Linked DNA regions of Saccharomyces cerevisiae S288C. The protein of the gene in region 1 interacts with the protein of each later gene in a pairwise test. Each region holds a gene or a part of one and is shown on either strand. Other genes may lie near its edges.

Region 1 (7,444 bases):
ATGATGCCAGGTACTTTGGAAATGCATCTAGGTCATCCATAAGCGATTCGTATGTGGAATAAGCAGTTTTGAAGTCGGATAGCATCATAGACCAATCTGCTAACTTTCTCATCAAAAACTCAGAAGATGACGATGCGAAGTATTCATTTCCCTGGCTGTCTCTCGTTAGAGAATTATGTTGGTGATTACCATTGACAGGATTTTTATTCATAAATTTTTTGAAAAACTTTGCACCATTAAATAGCGACTTTCTTGGCTGTAAAATTGTCTCTTCCCAGAATGACACTTTTCTTTTCATGAATGGTATCATTAAATCATAAACCAAATAATCAAGCATATCATAGATCGAGTTTATCAAAGCCAGAGAGAGTGTTGTTTGAGTTGGAGCTTGAAGGAAGAAGAGAATTTCTTCAAGCGATGACATTACTGGTTGGTGTAACTGTATGACTGAATTTTCGTCGTAAATAAAAGAATCCTTCCAGAGTGCTAGTAAGATACTCTCAACAAACAACTGCTTCTTTAGTTTCTTAGCTAACGCCTGGCATTTTTCGAATTCTTCTTGGGAATCGTCATTGTAGCAGAGTAAGAAAACTGGAAGCATTTCATTTGTATTCATGAAGATAGGAAAGTTTTCAGTATTATGATTAAGATTCTTGAAATTGACTAAAAGATCTCTTGCATCCTCATAAACTTCGCCATTTGATATATCTAAAGCAATCAAGGAAAGAATAGGGTGATTAAAAGTTTCATAGGGCGATAAGTTATTTGTGGATGAAATTGCTAGTGAAAAGAAACTATGATAAATGGATTTCTTAAGAAGATTATGAGGAACCATTTCATCAGTATTTGCTGCAACCAATTTCAAATAATTATCTAAGAATACCTCTAAAGAATGGTAATTGAATAACATATCATTTGCATCTCTTGTTTCGATCAAGTCACCTAATGGCCTTGTAAACCTGATATATTGAGATTGCGTTGAATCCCTCTGGAAAAGACTATTCGACCTACTGCGACTACCTTTCTTTGATAAATTGGGCACTTCCAAATTTTTATTTTTGGGAATTGAATCCGTCGAGTCACTTGCATCACAAACCTCATGCTCATGCTGTCCAACCTTCGCTTCATTGGCTTGATCTCTATCAGAGACACAACCGCCAAAGAATCGCAGCAGCATATAGAGAGAATCTACTTTGTACGTTTCTTGAATATGTTTGTCGAAGAGAGGAGTTGAAGTAACTGTTATTACAGGAGCTATAGCATTTGAAATTATTCTTTTTGCAATCTCTGGAGGCACCGTTTCTTTACTGTTATCCAAATGGAAAAGGAGATTCATATAGTGCTCATAAGAAAAAACCATTATAAGTTACCTCAGTATCTGTAAAGCCGACTGAATAAAGAGGTACCGTTTGTTTGGGTTACTTACTCATTTTCCTACCCATCCCATCCATTGGTTTTTCTGTTATTTTGCCTAATTTTGTCCGAGGAAATTATGACTTGTTTACAGTTGAGTAAAATATGTTGGGAACCCTAAATTTACATCATAAATTTTGACAATTATATTAGTACACATATTGATAATTAATAATCGGTAATGAAACGAGGTGTTTGGTTGCTGATTTATTGCTATGCAACTTTAACTAAAGGATTTTCCTTGCCAGGCCTATCTCCCACAACATATCACTCAGGCGATGAAATCCCGCTATTGGTGAACCGCTTGACTCCATCAATTTACTTTCAGCATCAAGATGAGGAAGGTAACGATGTTTCAGGCGATAAAGAACATTTTCTTTACTCCTATGATTACTATAATAAGAGGTTTCATTTTTGTAGACCAGAGCACGTTGAGAAACAGCCTGAGTCGTTAGGTTCAGTCATATTTGGTGACAGAATTTACAATTCCCCATTCCAATTGAACATGTTAGAGGAGAAAGAGTGTGTTGCACTTTGTAAAAGCACGATTCCGGGAAAAGATGCCAAATTTATCAACACCCTTATTAAAAGTGGATTTTTCCAAAACTGGCTCGTGGATGGATTGCCAGCAGCAAGAAAGGCTTATGATAGCAGAACAAAAACAAACTATTACGGCACAGGATTTGAGTTAGGTTTTACAGATGTTAAGCAAACCGTTGACGGTAAAGCAGTTCCCAGTACGATGGAAGAGCTTACTTCAGAGGCCTCAAATGAGGATGTTATATTGGATGCTCGACTGCCCAAGAATGTTAAGCCTAATTTAGTTAAAACGGTAGAATTACCTTACTTTGTAAATCATTTTGACATTGAAGTGGAATTTCACGATCGTGGAAACGATAATTACCGAGTTGTTGGTGTCATTGTAAACCCTGTATCTATCGAAAGATCGTCACCTGGCGCGTGTTCTACAACGGGAAAACCTCTGATACTAGACGAGGATAAGGATAACGAGGTTTACTTCACTTATTCTGTTAAATTTGTTGCCTCTGATACAGTGTGGGCTACGAGATGGGATAAGTATCTACATATTTATGACCCGCAGATACAATGGTTTTCATTAATAAATTTTTCCGTTATTGTTATTTTGTTGTCATCTGTTGTAATGCATTCTCTATTACGGGCTTTGAAAAGCGATCTCGCTCGTTATAACGAACTAAACTTGGATAATGAATTCCATGAAGATTCTGGCTGGAAATTGGGCCATGGTGACGTATTTAGAACCCCATCTAAGTCGATGCTGCTATCCATTCTTGTGGGATCCGGTATGCAGTTATTTTTGATGGTCATGTGTAGCATTTTTTTTGCCGCAGTAGGTCTTGTGTCGCCTGTTTCCAGAGGATCCCTGCCAACTGTAATGTTTGTTCTTTATGCATTATTTGGATTTGTAGGATCCTACGCCTCAATGGGTGTCTACAAATTTTTTCGTGGACCCTATTGGAAGGCGAATATGATATTAACGCCAATATTACTTCCTGGAGCAATTTTTTTACTGATTGTAATAATGAACTTCTTTTTGTTATTTGCACATTCTTCAGGTGTCATCCCAGCGAGAAGCCTATTCTTTATCATTCTTCTATGGTTTTTAGTTTCTGTTCCGTTGTCGTTTGCGGGTTCAATTGTTGCTCATAAGCAGTGTAATTGGGATGAGCATCCAACTAAAACAAACCAAATCGCCAGACAGATTCCATATCAACCCTGGTACTTGAGAACAGCACAAGCAACCTTAATCGCTGGAATTTTCAGTTTCGGATCAATAGCGGTTGAGCTGTACTTCATTTACTCCAGTTTATGGTTCAACAAAATTTTTTATATGTTTGGATTTTTACTCTTTTCATTCTTATTGTTGACCTTGACAACCTCATTAGTTACCATCTTGATCACATATTACTCGTTATGTCTAGAAAACTGGCTATGGCAATGGAGAAGTTTTATTATTGGTGGTTTAGGATGTTCAATCTATACGTTCATCCACTCCATACTATTTACTAAGTTCAAGCTTGGTGGAGTTATTACTGTCGTGCTCTATCTCGGATATTCACTTATTATATCTGCATTATGTTGTGTCGTCACTGGAGCGATTGGTTTTTTTAGTAGTATGTTTTTTATTAGGAAGATATACTCTGCCATTAAAGTTGAGTGATTTCGTTATTCTCTCCACTAAAGTAAAAGAAGTGAATACGTTAGTTTTATTTTTTTTTTTTTTTTTAATTTTTTGAGAAGTGTTTTACTTCGCAATGCATTTATATCCTATATGTCCTGGCAAACTTTTTGATAAATTGGAATGCAAGTTTTAACGCGTTTTTATGTAGCACTAATACACTGTATTGAAGATTTTTTTTTCTTTCACAATTTGGAAACGATTATATTGGATATATATTAGAAGTTTTCCTCGAGGATATAAGAAATCCGCAAAAGGGAATCAACAATTCTATATAACAACATTATTCTCTCTCCGTTTATATTTTATATTAAATTCATTATCTTATTAAATTATCAATTCTTGCACTTCAGCTTCCATTAAATCCGATAATTGTTATGAAGTCTTCTAACAACTCATTCGACATTAATAATAAAGAATATTATTCGATATATTTATTTATTTTTATTCCGGCAATAATAAATCTGAAAACGAGTTACTCTTTCAAATGACATGATAGTTATCAAATCCAAATTCTTTAGGAGAGTGTGTAATTAGGTGAAATATTAATGGTTAACTTTCTGTTGTATTACGGGCTCGAGTAATACCGGAGTGTCTTGACAATCCTAATATAAACAGTCTTAGGGAAGTAACCAGTTGTCAAAACAGTTTATCAGATTAATTCACGGAATGTTACTTATCTTATATATTATATAAAATATGAATCATACTAAGTGGTGGAAGCGCGGAATCTCGGATCTAAACTAATTGTTCAAGCATTTATACGTTTGGGTAGTTCAGCTAGGGAAGGCCGTGTTTTATCTCATGTTGTTCGTTTTGTTATAAGGTTGTTTCATATGTGTTTTATGAACGTTTAGGATGACGTATTGTCATACTGACATATCTCATTTTGAGATACAACACTTTCGATCCAAATTGGTCTCTTGGCCCAGTTGGTTAAGGCACCGTGCTAATAACGCGGGGATCAGCGGTTCGATCCCGCTAGAGACCATTTTTATTTTTTCTCCTCTATTGTTAAAAATAGCTCTTTACTATCATAAACTTTTACATCAAAAGCTCAATAAGGCTAATTGTTGTGGAAAGACGCAGTTTGGTGAAGAGAACACTTCCTGTTTTTGTTTTCTACATATACATAAAGCCTATTGTAAGCGCTTCACTCCAGTTCTGAAGTAATAATCAAACCAATCAGGAGCAATATGAGGATTGTTATAAAACTCATCTCTTTCTATTCCTACAATGTTGCTCCCCTTATAGTGCAGAAGTATTTTCGCGCATGCAGAACCAGCCTGCCAGTAATTTTTAGGAAACTGGATTTTGGACGTATCCATTTTTAACTTGAATAAATTCCTTATTACTGTTTCATACGCCTCTTCAATGTTTACTATAATGATATTTTCTCTCAGTGGCCTTCTCAAGTCGATAGGAAGTGACTCTACAATATTTTTGACAAGATTTATTACCGGGGTTTCATCTACTTCACAATTTTTAGAGTTGTATTCTTCGTCAAAAAATATTGGCATGTAGAGACTGCCCGGGAGAGGAATTCTTGACTCAACCTGTCTTTTGCCTCGTTTTGAGTATTTTATGAACTGTTGCAAAGGTCTAAGGTCGAAAATAGGTACGCATGTAGTATAATTGGTACCTATATCTATAACTATGGCATTCCTTGTATTACAGGATAAGCAGTGCACAATGGCCCTGGGGACAAACGAAACGTGAGCGCAGTCAAATTCCTTAAACAAGATGCTACAAATAATTCTTTTCTCTACTACAGAAATGAAGATATCTTCTAGTATCAACACTTGTACTTCTCGATTTCCCAAGATGTTGCAAATTTGGAAGTAATGTTCAAATATTTTTTTCAATTCTTCCCTATTTTTTTCATTAATACTACCTGTTTTCCAGGCGATAATTTCTTGTGGACACGCATCAGCACTTCTTCCAATTTCGATTCTGTTAGCTCCCAAATAGACTATCACAATAGTATTCGACATTTCCTCATAGGGTTTCCTGGGTAGATTTTTTTTATCATTTCACAGTGTCGAATATTGTAGTATTTGTACCTCTTTTGTTTATGTCTCTCGGCTACAATAGAAGTTCCGACAATTAGATTCTAACAAAAAAGAGAACTGTTTTTGAGGTCTTTATGCCCCCAAAACGAAGTTTATAATCAAACAACAGATTTACTTCATATCAAAATACCCATCACAAAGTACAACAATCTACCATGGGTGCCGTAATTTCTTTGCCAGTTAGCATGGCGGGCTCATTCGTGGCGTCCTGTTTTGGAGGTTGCTGCTCAAACTTGGTGACTAAGACTGCATCTTCCCTAGGATCTTCTTCTTTAGGGACAAGACTTCTGTACGCCGTTTGGCTTTTACTTAACTCATTGATATCATGGGTGTCCTATTCTGCGAACAAATCAATCCTATGGCCAGGGAAGACATGTACTGGGACTGGGGAATGTGGATTTTTTACAGTTCATAGGTTGAATTTTGCATTGGGATGCTTACATTTGATATTGGCGCTTGTACTAACGGGCGTAAAGTCGACTAATGACGTAAGAGCAGCATTACAGAATTCGTGGTGGAGTTTAAAATTTATACTGTATTTATGTCTCATTGTTTTGTCATTTGTCATCCCCAATGACTTTTATATTTTCTTTTCCAAGTGGGTGTCAGTCCCTAGTGGAGCAATTTTCATCCTGGTTGGGCTTATATTATTAGTAGACTTCGCTCATGAGTGGGCTGAAACGTGTATTAGTCACGTTGAGTCAGAAGATGAAGATTCCTCATTCTGGCAACGATTTTTGGTTTTAGGGACAACTTCAATGTATACCGCATCGATTATCATGACTGTTGTTATGTATGTTATGTTTTGTCATCAACAATGTAACATGAATCAAACAGCGGTAACAGTCAATTTAATATTAACTGTTATAACGCTTGTCTTATCGGTGAATCCTAAGATCCAAGAGGCCAACCCTAAAAGTGGGCTGGCCCAAAGTAGTATGGTTTCTGTTTACTGTACTTATTTGACAATGAGTGCCATGTCTTCCGAACCGGATGACAAAATGTGTAATCCGTTGGTTAGATCTAGTGGAACCCGTAAGTTTAGTATCATTTTGGGCTCTTTATTTACTTTTATTGCGATTGCTTACACCACAACTAGAGCCGCTGCTAATAGTGCTTTTCAAGGCACCAATACTAATGGTGCTATATATCTCGGGAATGATATCGAGTACGAAGGACTAGGTGGACAGACAAGAAATCAGTTGAGGTATGAAGCTATTAAACAAGCTGTAGAAGAAGGATCTTTACCGGAAAGTGCCTTATATGATACCGCTTGGTTAGGGACATCATCTCCTACAGGCGCAATGGATAACCAAAATGATGATGAAAGGACTGGAACCAAGTACAATTACACTCTGTTCCACGTTATATTCTTTCTGGCAACCCAGTGGATTGCAATTTTACTAACAATAAACGTTACCCAGGATGATGTAGGTGATTTTATACCCGTAGGAAGAACATATTTTTATTCTTGGGTAAAAATAGTTAGTGCATGGATATGTTATGCCCTTTACGGTTGGACAGTGGTAGCCCCAGCGATTATGCCCGATAGATTTGATTACGAGAATTACTATTAAATAGACTAACACAAAAAGATTTTCTTATAATGTATGTAACTTTTTTTTAAGTAGCCCCCAGTAGAAACACTAATTTTACTATACTCATGCACTAGTTTCAAGAAGATGAGTAAACCTCCCTCAAAAAAAAATGGATCTTAATTATCTAATTGAGATATCGCTTC
Region 2 (6,383 bases), on another chromosome or scaffold:
TGCAAAAAGAGTAGGAGGATTCTTGTTGGATTTTAAAGTCGTCTTTGGATCCATTATTATATCAGGGACAGCAGATTTTGCCTCACCACGTAATTTGCTCGCACCAACCATGTTTTTAATCATTGTGCTTAGCTTTTCTTGTCTCTTAGCATTTTTTAAGTGATGTTCATGGGTACCATCTTTATGCACAAGAAACCTCCCACAAATAGGTGCACTTGTATTGGTTATCTTATTTACATTATTAATATTTGAAGCAGTGGGAGTAGGCGCGGGTGTAATAGCAGTATTGCTGTTACTATGATGAGAGAACTTTGGGCTCAAACTTTTGGAGCTAATATTTATGGCTGATGTGGGTGATAAGGATAAAGCTGATACTGACGAAGTTAAAGAAGCAGCTGATGATGACTTAGAGGTGTTAATATCAATATGGTTGTTTAATGATGCGGATGAACTAGAGTGCGATGGTGATGCCGACTGGTAATATTCGGGCATATACATGCCCGGTTTACTCACACCTGCAGTATTAGAAGGATTAGAAACTACCCTAGGAGTAGCAGTGGTTGGGGTATGTAAACCAAATTTGGCTGATTTAGACGCCGATGGAACGTTTGTGTTTATATTAGAAGGTGGCTGGATATTCGATGAGGCCTTTCCCTGCCTAGATGATCTTGAACCGCTTCTAAAAAGTTGCATAACTTTAGAAGATAGCGCATGTTTCCTTGGAGTTTGCTGAGGAATAGCGGCATTATTATCATTCATACCAGTCATATATTTGAGGGGTAATGTCGAAATAAAATAAAATCTGATTACTTTTTTTTTGATTACAGGGAATAGTAGTCACAATACTTACTACTAGTTAATATCTAGCGGTAAATGGAGAGTAAAAAAAGGTTGAGAGCCTAATATTAGAAAGCTACCTTAAGCTTTCCAGTTTTTATTTGTAACTTAAAAACGCTTAAAGGCTTAGTACAACTTATTGAACAGGACTTTGAAAGTCCAAATTTTATTCGATAATGTTAAAGTGAATAACAACAACCCAGCAATAACAACAACAACAACAACACAACAGGTTATAACGAAACCGACAGGAAATCGTCAAAAAAAAAAAATGATAAAAAATTCTTAAAATCGAAACTCCAAGTAAAGGTCTATATTAGGGTTTAATAAACTTTTGCTAAAAAAAATTGCCGAATATCTCTATAAAGTAGTATATTTTCTTCTCCGTTTCCTCTTCCCTCTTTAAAAGCTGTAATATTATATATACTATTTGTATAGCGGAAAATGCGTGAGATGGCAAGAGCTCGGCCTGTTAACATATTAGCACGGGGAGGCCGATGTTGATTTGATGAAATGACGTGCCAGGTGATTTTTCCATTCGCCATGCCGGGGGTTGAGAAAAAATTTTTTCTCCGTCGGAGATAAAAAAAAAAAAAGAAAAGAAAAATTAACGACCCCAGTGAGGGTTGAACTCACGATCTTGCGATTAACAGTCGCACGCCTTAACCAACTTGGCCATGGAGTCATTTTATCTTGTGTCACTTTTACAGAAAAAGTATTACTAATATATGTTGAAAATTTTCCAACTACCCTTCGAGTATGATTTTACAACTGCGTCAAAGAAACCATGCAAAACAGTTGACTAATATCGCAACTGTTTTTTTTTCTCATTGCCTTTGAAAGAATGGAACACTCCTCACCACGAGGTTCTAAAAACTATACCAACCACAGTTTGGACGTACATCTGAAGATGGCATCCAATAGCAGCGGTATTCATTTGTGCGGGCTGGATTGAAAAAAGCATCACAATTATTGGGGCGTTTATTGTAGTCTTTGAACCGAGATAATCCAGGTGTTAAATATTGGTTGGATATGCATGCAAAATTTTCAGCAAAAACGATGGAAGCAGAACAAACAGTGCTTATCTTTGCTTCTGCTCTTGTGTAAGTCTAAAGGACAATATCTTTGTTATTAAGCACTCTAGCTGCCCACTGTATAAACAGAACTTTTGACAAAAAGTCTAGCCAGCGATGATATAATTTGCCTGCACAAAGAGTTTACTATTAGTAGCACAACTAAGTCATCGAAACGCTTTTAGTGGACAGATCTAAAGTTACAAATATTTAGGTATGCGTAAAAGGGTAATTAACCTAGTATCAAATGAGTCGAAGCCCCGACCGCGCCCAGAAGAAAAGCCATTATCATTTAGGTGACGCCTTGTTCTAAGGCTTAGTTAATAATATTCCTTTCAACCAAACAATGACCTTCCAAGGTGTTCAGTAAGTGGCTCTCATTTTAAGTTAGTTGGGTATTATACGCCTTGTATCCGGGGCTATGCTTAGGTTAAATAAGAATACTGCTTGAATAGCTCAAGTTTACAAAATAATTTAAAAAGAGTTTATGAACTTCAATAAAACTTCGAACCTGAAAATGTAAGTCTGTGTTCTGTTTATATACACCAGTCGGTTGTCTATACCATATCAAGACAAGAAACAAAACTCCGTATCTGCATGCAGCCTCATTTAGACAACAACAGTAATAATGACGATGTCAAATTGGATACATTAGGGGAACAAAATGTGTTATCATCCGCAGAAAATATCACTTTACCTGAAGACACCTTTAAATCATATATGACCTACTTGCTGTACGAGATGGCTCATTACAAACCGATGATATTTTCCTTCTTGGCACTTTCAGTTTCAATTTTAATAGTTGTGATCTTTCATAATGTTAAAGCTTGTGATGTCGTTTTTGGTTTTTCAATTTTCGTCACTTCTATTTTGTTTTTGTCTACGTTGATTCCGTTTAATGTGTATATCTCGGATGAGGGTTTCAGAATTAAGCTTTTGCTGGAAGTTATCACCCACAGGCCAGCGGTAAAGGGAAAAGAATGGAGAGCAATCACAGACAATATGAATCAATATTTACTTGATAATGGTTTATGGAGTACTCGCTATTACTTTTATAGTAGTGAAAGATGCTACAAATTCTTCAGATTTCTTGTGAAAGAAAAACCCCCAGGTGTGAATGTAAATTCATCGGTAAAGGACGCCACAAGTACGCAGATAGATGCACCAGCAAATGAGGCTTCAAATGAGGTAATAAAATGCTTTAGTTTCAGTTCTGACCCAATATTCGAAGCATACTTTGTTAAAGCAGTAGAAGTTGAGAAACAAGCACAACAGGAATATTGGAGAAAGCAATATCCTGACGCCGATATACCATGAAATATAAATCTTGATAATTTTATTTAGCACTTATACTGAGCGATGTACCAAACCGATTCTAAATTCACAATTCATAATGGAACTTAATCGTTTATACAGTATAAACAAGTAGAAGTATTTTGACAGAGATTAATAAATTTGTGCCACACGAAGGGGCTTTCTCACAGCTAATAATATTGTACAAACTAAAGGATAGAATATGCTGTGGTGCAAGTTGGGTGCACATTAACGTATTGTCGTGCATTCCCTATCATTTTTAAGGGAAGGAAATTAATTCTAATGGCTAGTTACTTACTCTCAGGACTCCATAATTAACATGTAGCAACTGAAAAAAGAAATTTTGCTGTGAATGACTTGTGCTCAAGATAAGCTTCTTTTTCTGAAGGTTTGTTTCTTATTGCGAGCACTTTTTTCTGTATATAATGTAACAGTGAAGAGCAGCATCTATATGTTAAAGTGCTTCATGTATGGTTAAGCAGGCTTTGCGGCTAAAAAAAAAGGAATGCTTATTACCCTTTTTTCCATACTTTTGTAGCTACCTAGTTTCTTTCTCGAATGTTTCGCGATTGTTTCCACTGCAATTTCCGCATAAAACAAATATCAAAGAAAATATACGAGACAGAAAGATTTGGAGAACATGATTTGATGTCTTCAGCTTTCATTATATTCAACATTTTCACGCTTTGTTCTTGTTACTATTCAATATTCATGGCCAAATTCCCACAAACCTAGATAATTCTAACTATTTTAATAAACCCACACATAAATAGAGAAGCATTACGACTTGCATGCGCATAGTGTGTCACCAAAGGTTGAGAGAAACTGTTTGCTTACTTCTTGGAAACTGCATAAGTTATACTCGAGTCTTACAATTAGTCATTGAATACGACAAAACCACTTCCTCTGCCTTATTTGATTTCTGAAAGCTTAGTGTGCTACGAGAAAAATTTTACAAAGAAATTATTATGAAGCTAAACTACTTCTTTACCATCAAGAACCACTTTTTGTCCCCAGCAAAATTTTCTTAGGCTTTGAGAGGTCCATTGTGCTAACATTACTGTTTCACATAGTTCCCATGTATAAATTAGACCAAATAGCACTAACCTGTAGGTTGTGGAACTTCAAAACTACAAAAATCTTGATGTGTTGATTGTTCGGTCACTTAGAGGATATAATTGAATACTTGCACGATAAGAATCTTAAAACATATAGTGAACAAGAACAAGTGCCGAAATTTAAATCTTTGAACCATGTTGATGTGCCCTTTCTGCTTCATAACGGGAACAACTTCGCTTGCAGCATCCTTGCATTCTTGAAGACGTTCTTACGGTCTATGTAGCATTTTCTCTTAAACCCAAGACATAGCAAAAAACAAGTGTGTATAATTACTTTGGATAATATTTATGAAATCCATACTTATATTAGCCATTTCATGAGGACGGAATACTTCTCAACTAAAAAGCACAACTTGGCAATTATTACAATTTGCGTACCTAATAAACAAGATGCCCGATAATTCCTCACAATTTTATACTAGCTCGAATGTGTTGGAATAAAAATCCACTATCGTCTATCAACTAATAGTTATATTATCAATATATTATCATATACGGTGTTAAGATGATGACATAAGTTATGAGAAGCTGTCATCGAAGTTAGAGGAAGCTGAAGTGTAAGGATTGATAATGTAATAGGATAATGAAACATATAAAACGGAATGAGGAATAATCGTAATATTGGTATATAGAAATATAGATTCCATTATGGGGATTCCTAGACCCTCGAGGAGAACTTCTAGTATATTCTGTATACCTAATATTATAGCCTTTATCAACAATGGAATCCCAACAATTATCTCAACATTCACCCATTTCTCAGAATGAGATATACTTTGAGTAAAAGTGGTGGAGGATATTACTTATGTCCTTGGTAGCATGGGTCAAGATAGTTGTGTTAACTTGTTAATTATTTTTTACTATGCTTCTCAATTAAAGATGAAGTTTAACGAATGGTCTAGACTTATTCTCACAGTTTACCCGGAGGTCATCATTCTCTTTAATGACAATATTTACTCTGTCGTCACTTTCGTAATTGTTTCGTGTCTGTTTCGCAGTCCATTTGGAATGCGACAGTAAGTTAATTACAAGAAGTAGTAACAACAACTTAGCGATAATGTTTCTCATGTGTGACGCAGGGTTACTTTTGACTTAAAACGACCATTTTGCAGTTTTACTTCACGTTCGCAAACTTTCAATAACTGGCTGTTAATCTGGTCGTTAAGAAAAAGGTCAATGACGATGGCAGGGAAAATAGGGCTGTATCCCAGACTTCAGGCGCTGTTCTGCCGGGATTTTTCAAAGGAGGGCGTGTGGTCTAGAGGTATGATTCTCGCTTAGGGTGCGGGAGGTCCCGGGTTCGAGTCCCGGCTCGCCCCACATTGTTTTTACAATGTGTGGTGTCGCTACTGGCAGAAATGGTACGGCATTTATCTTTCCGACGTAAAACAAGTGTACTCAGGAGCAGTTTTTTTTTGCAATATGCTAAAACTCGTACAATAAACCAAGGCGCATGGCATGTTTGAACATTTACTCGTTATTTCGGAGGTTCCTCAGATGGCTGAATGGAGGTACAGATTATGATTTCTAGAAAACTGCAGCGGACTTTACAGAGTAAGCTGGAGAAGACCAATGTTAATGAAAACTTGAACTGCTGAAGTGTGATATTCAATGTATGAGATAATCCATTAAATCATCTACAGTTTAAAGACTGTAGGCTTACATGACCGTTTATCACTGCGATATTGGAGGAAGCGCTTCGGATCAATGGACCTTTTACTTAGCAGAGCGAAGGCTGAAAATCATGAACCCCAACAGCATGTGTGACCTCTCTTCTCACGCCTGGCAAGAAACCAAACTACGGCATACATTCAGCGCACCAAAAAGGAACTCCGTACTATTTACATTAAAAACAAGAAAATGTGTTGCCATTTCCGTAAAATGAATGGCCCATGTTCATACGCGTATGCAACCGTCTTATTTACACTCCGACTAATGTCCTTCTAATTACTGTGGAAGACGGCCGTATAAGCGTCCTTCTGTGGTTTAGATATGCTATACCGGCGGAACTTTGTTACACACGGCTCGCGCGAATCCTTAG

What was found.
Region 2: the proteins of TMN2 (region 1) and DFP3 interact in a protein complementation assay, tested with the Saccharomyces cerevisiae proteins (one large-scale study listed by BioGRID).

Annotation. Positions count from the first base shown.
Region 1 is NC_001136.10:665,185-672,628, reverse strand, and holds TMN2 (Tmn2p), read left to right. Parts: upstream 1-1,594; coding exon 1,595-3,613; downstream 3,614-7,444. Other genes in the region: TRS85 (Trs85p), read right to left, coding at 1-1,360; ARP10 (Arp10p), read right to left, coding at 4,771-5,625; TMS1 (Tms1p), read left to right, coding at 5,859-7,280. UniProt on the Saccharomyces cerevisiae protein: With EMP70 and TMN3, plays a critical role in the late stages of a nutrient-controlled pathway notably regulating FLO11 gene expression. Acts downstream of RAS2 and TOR. Essential for cell adhesion and filamentous growth.
Region 2 is NC_001135.5:122,855-129,237, reverse strand, and holds DFP3 (DUP240 family protein), read left to right. Parts: upstream 1-2,507; coding exon 2,508-3,227; downstream 3,228-6,383. Other genes in the region: serine/threonine protein kinase SAT4, read right to left, coding at 1-768; YCR006C (uncharacterized protein), read left to right, coding at 6,235-6,383.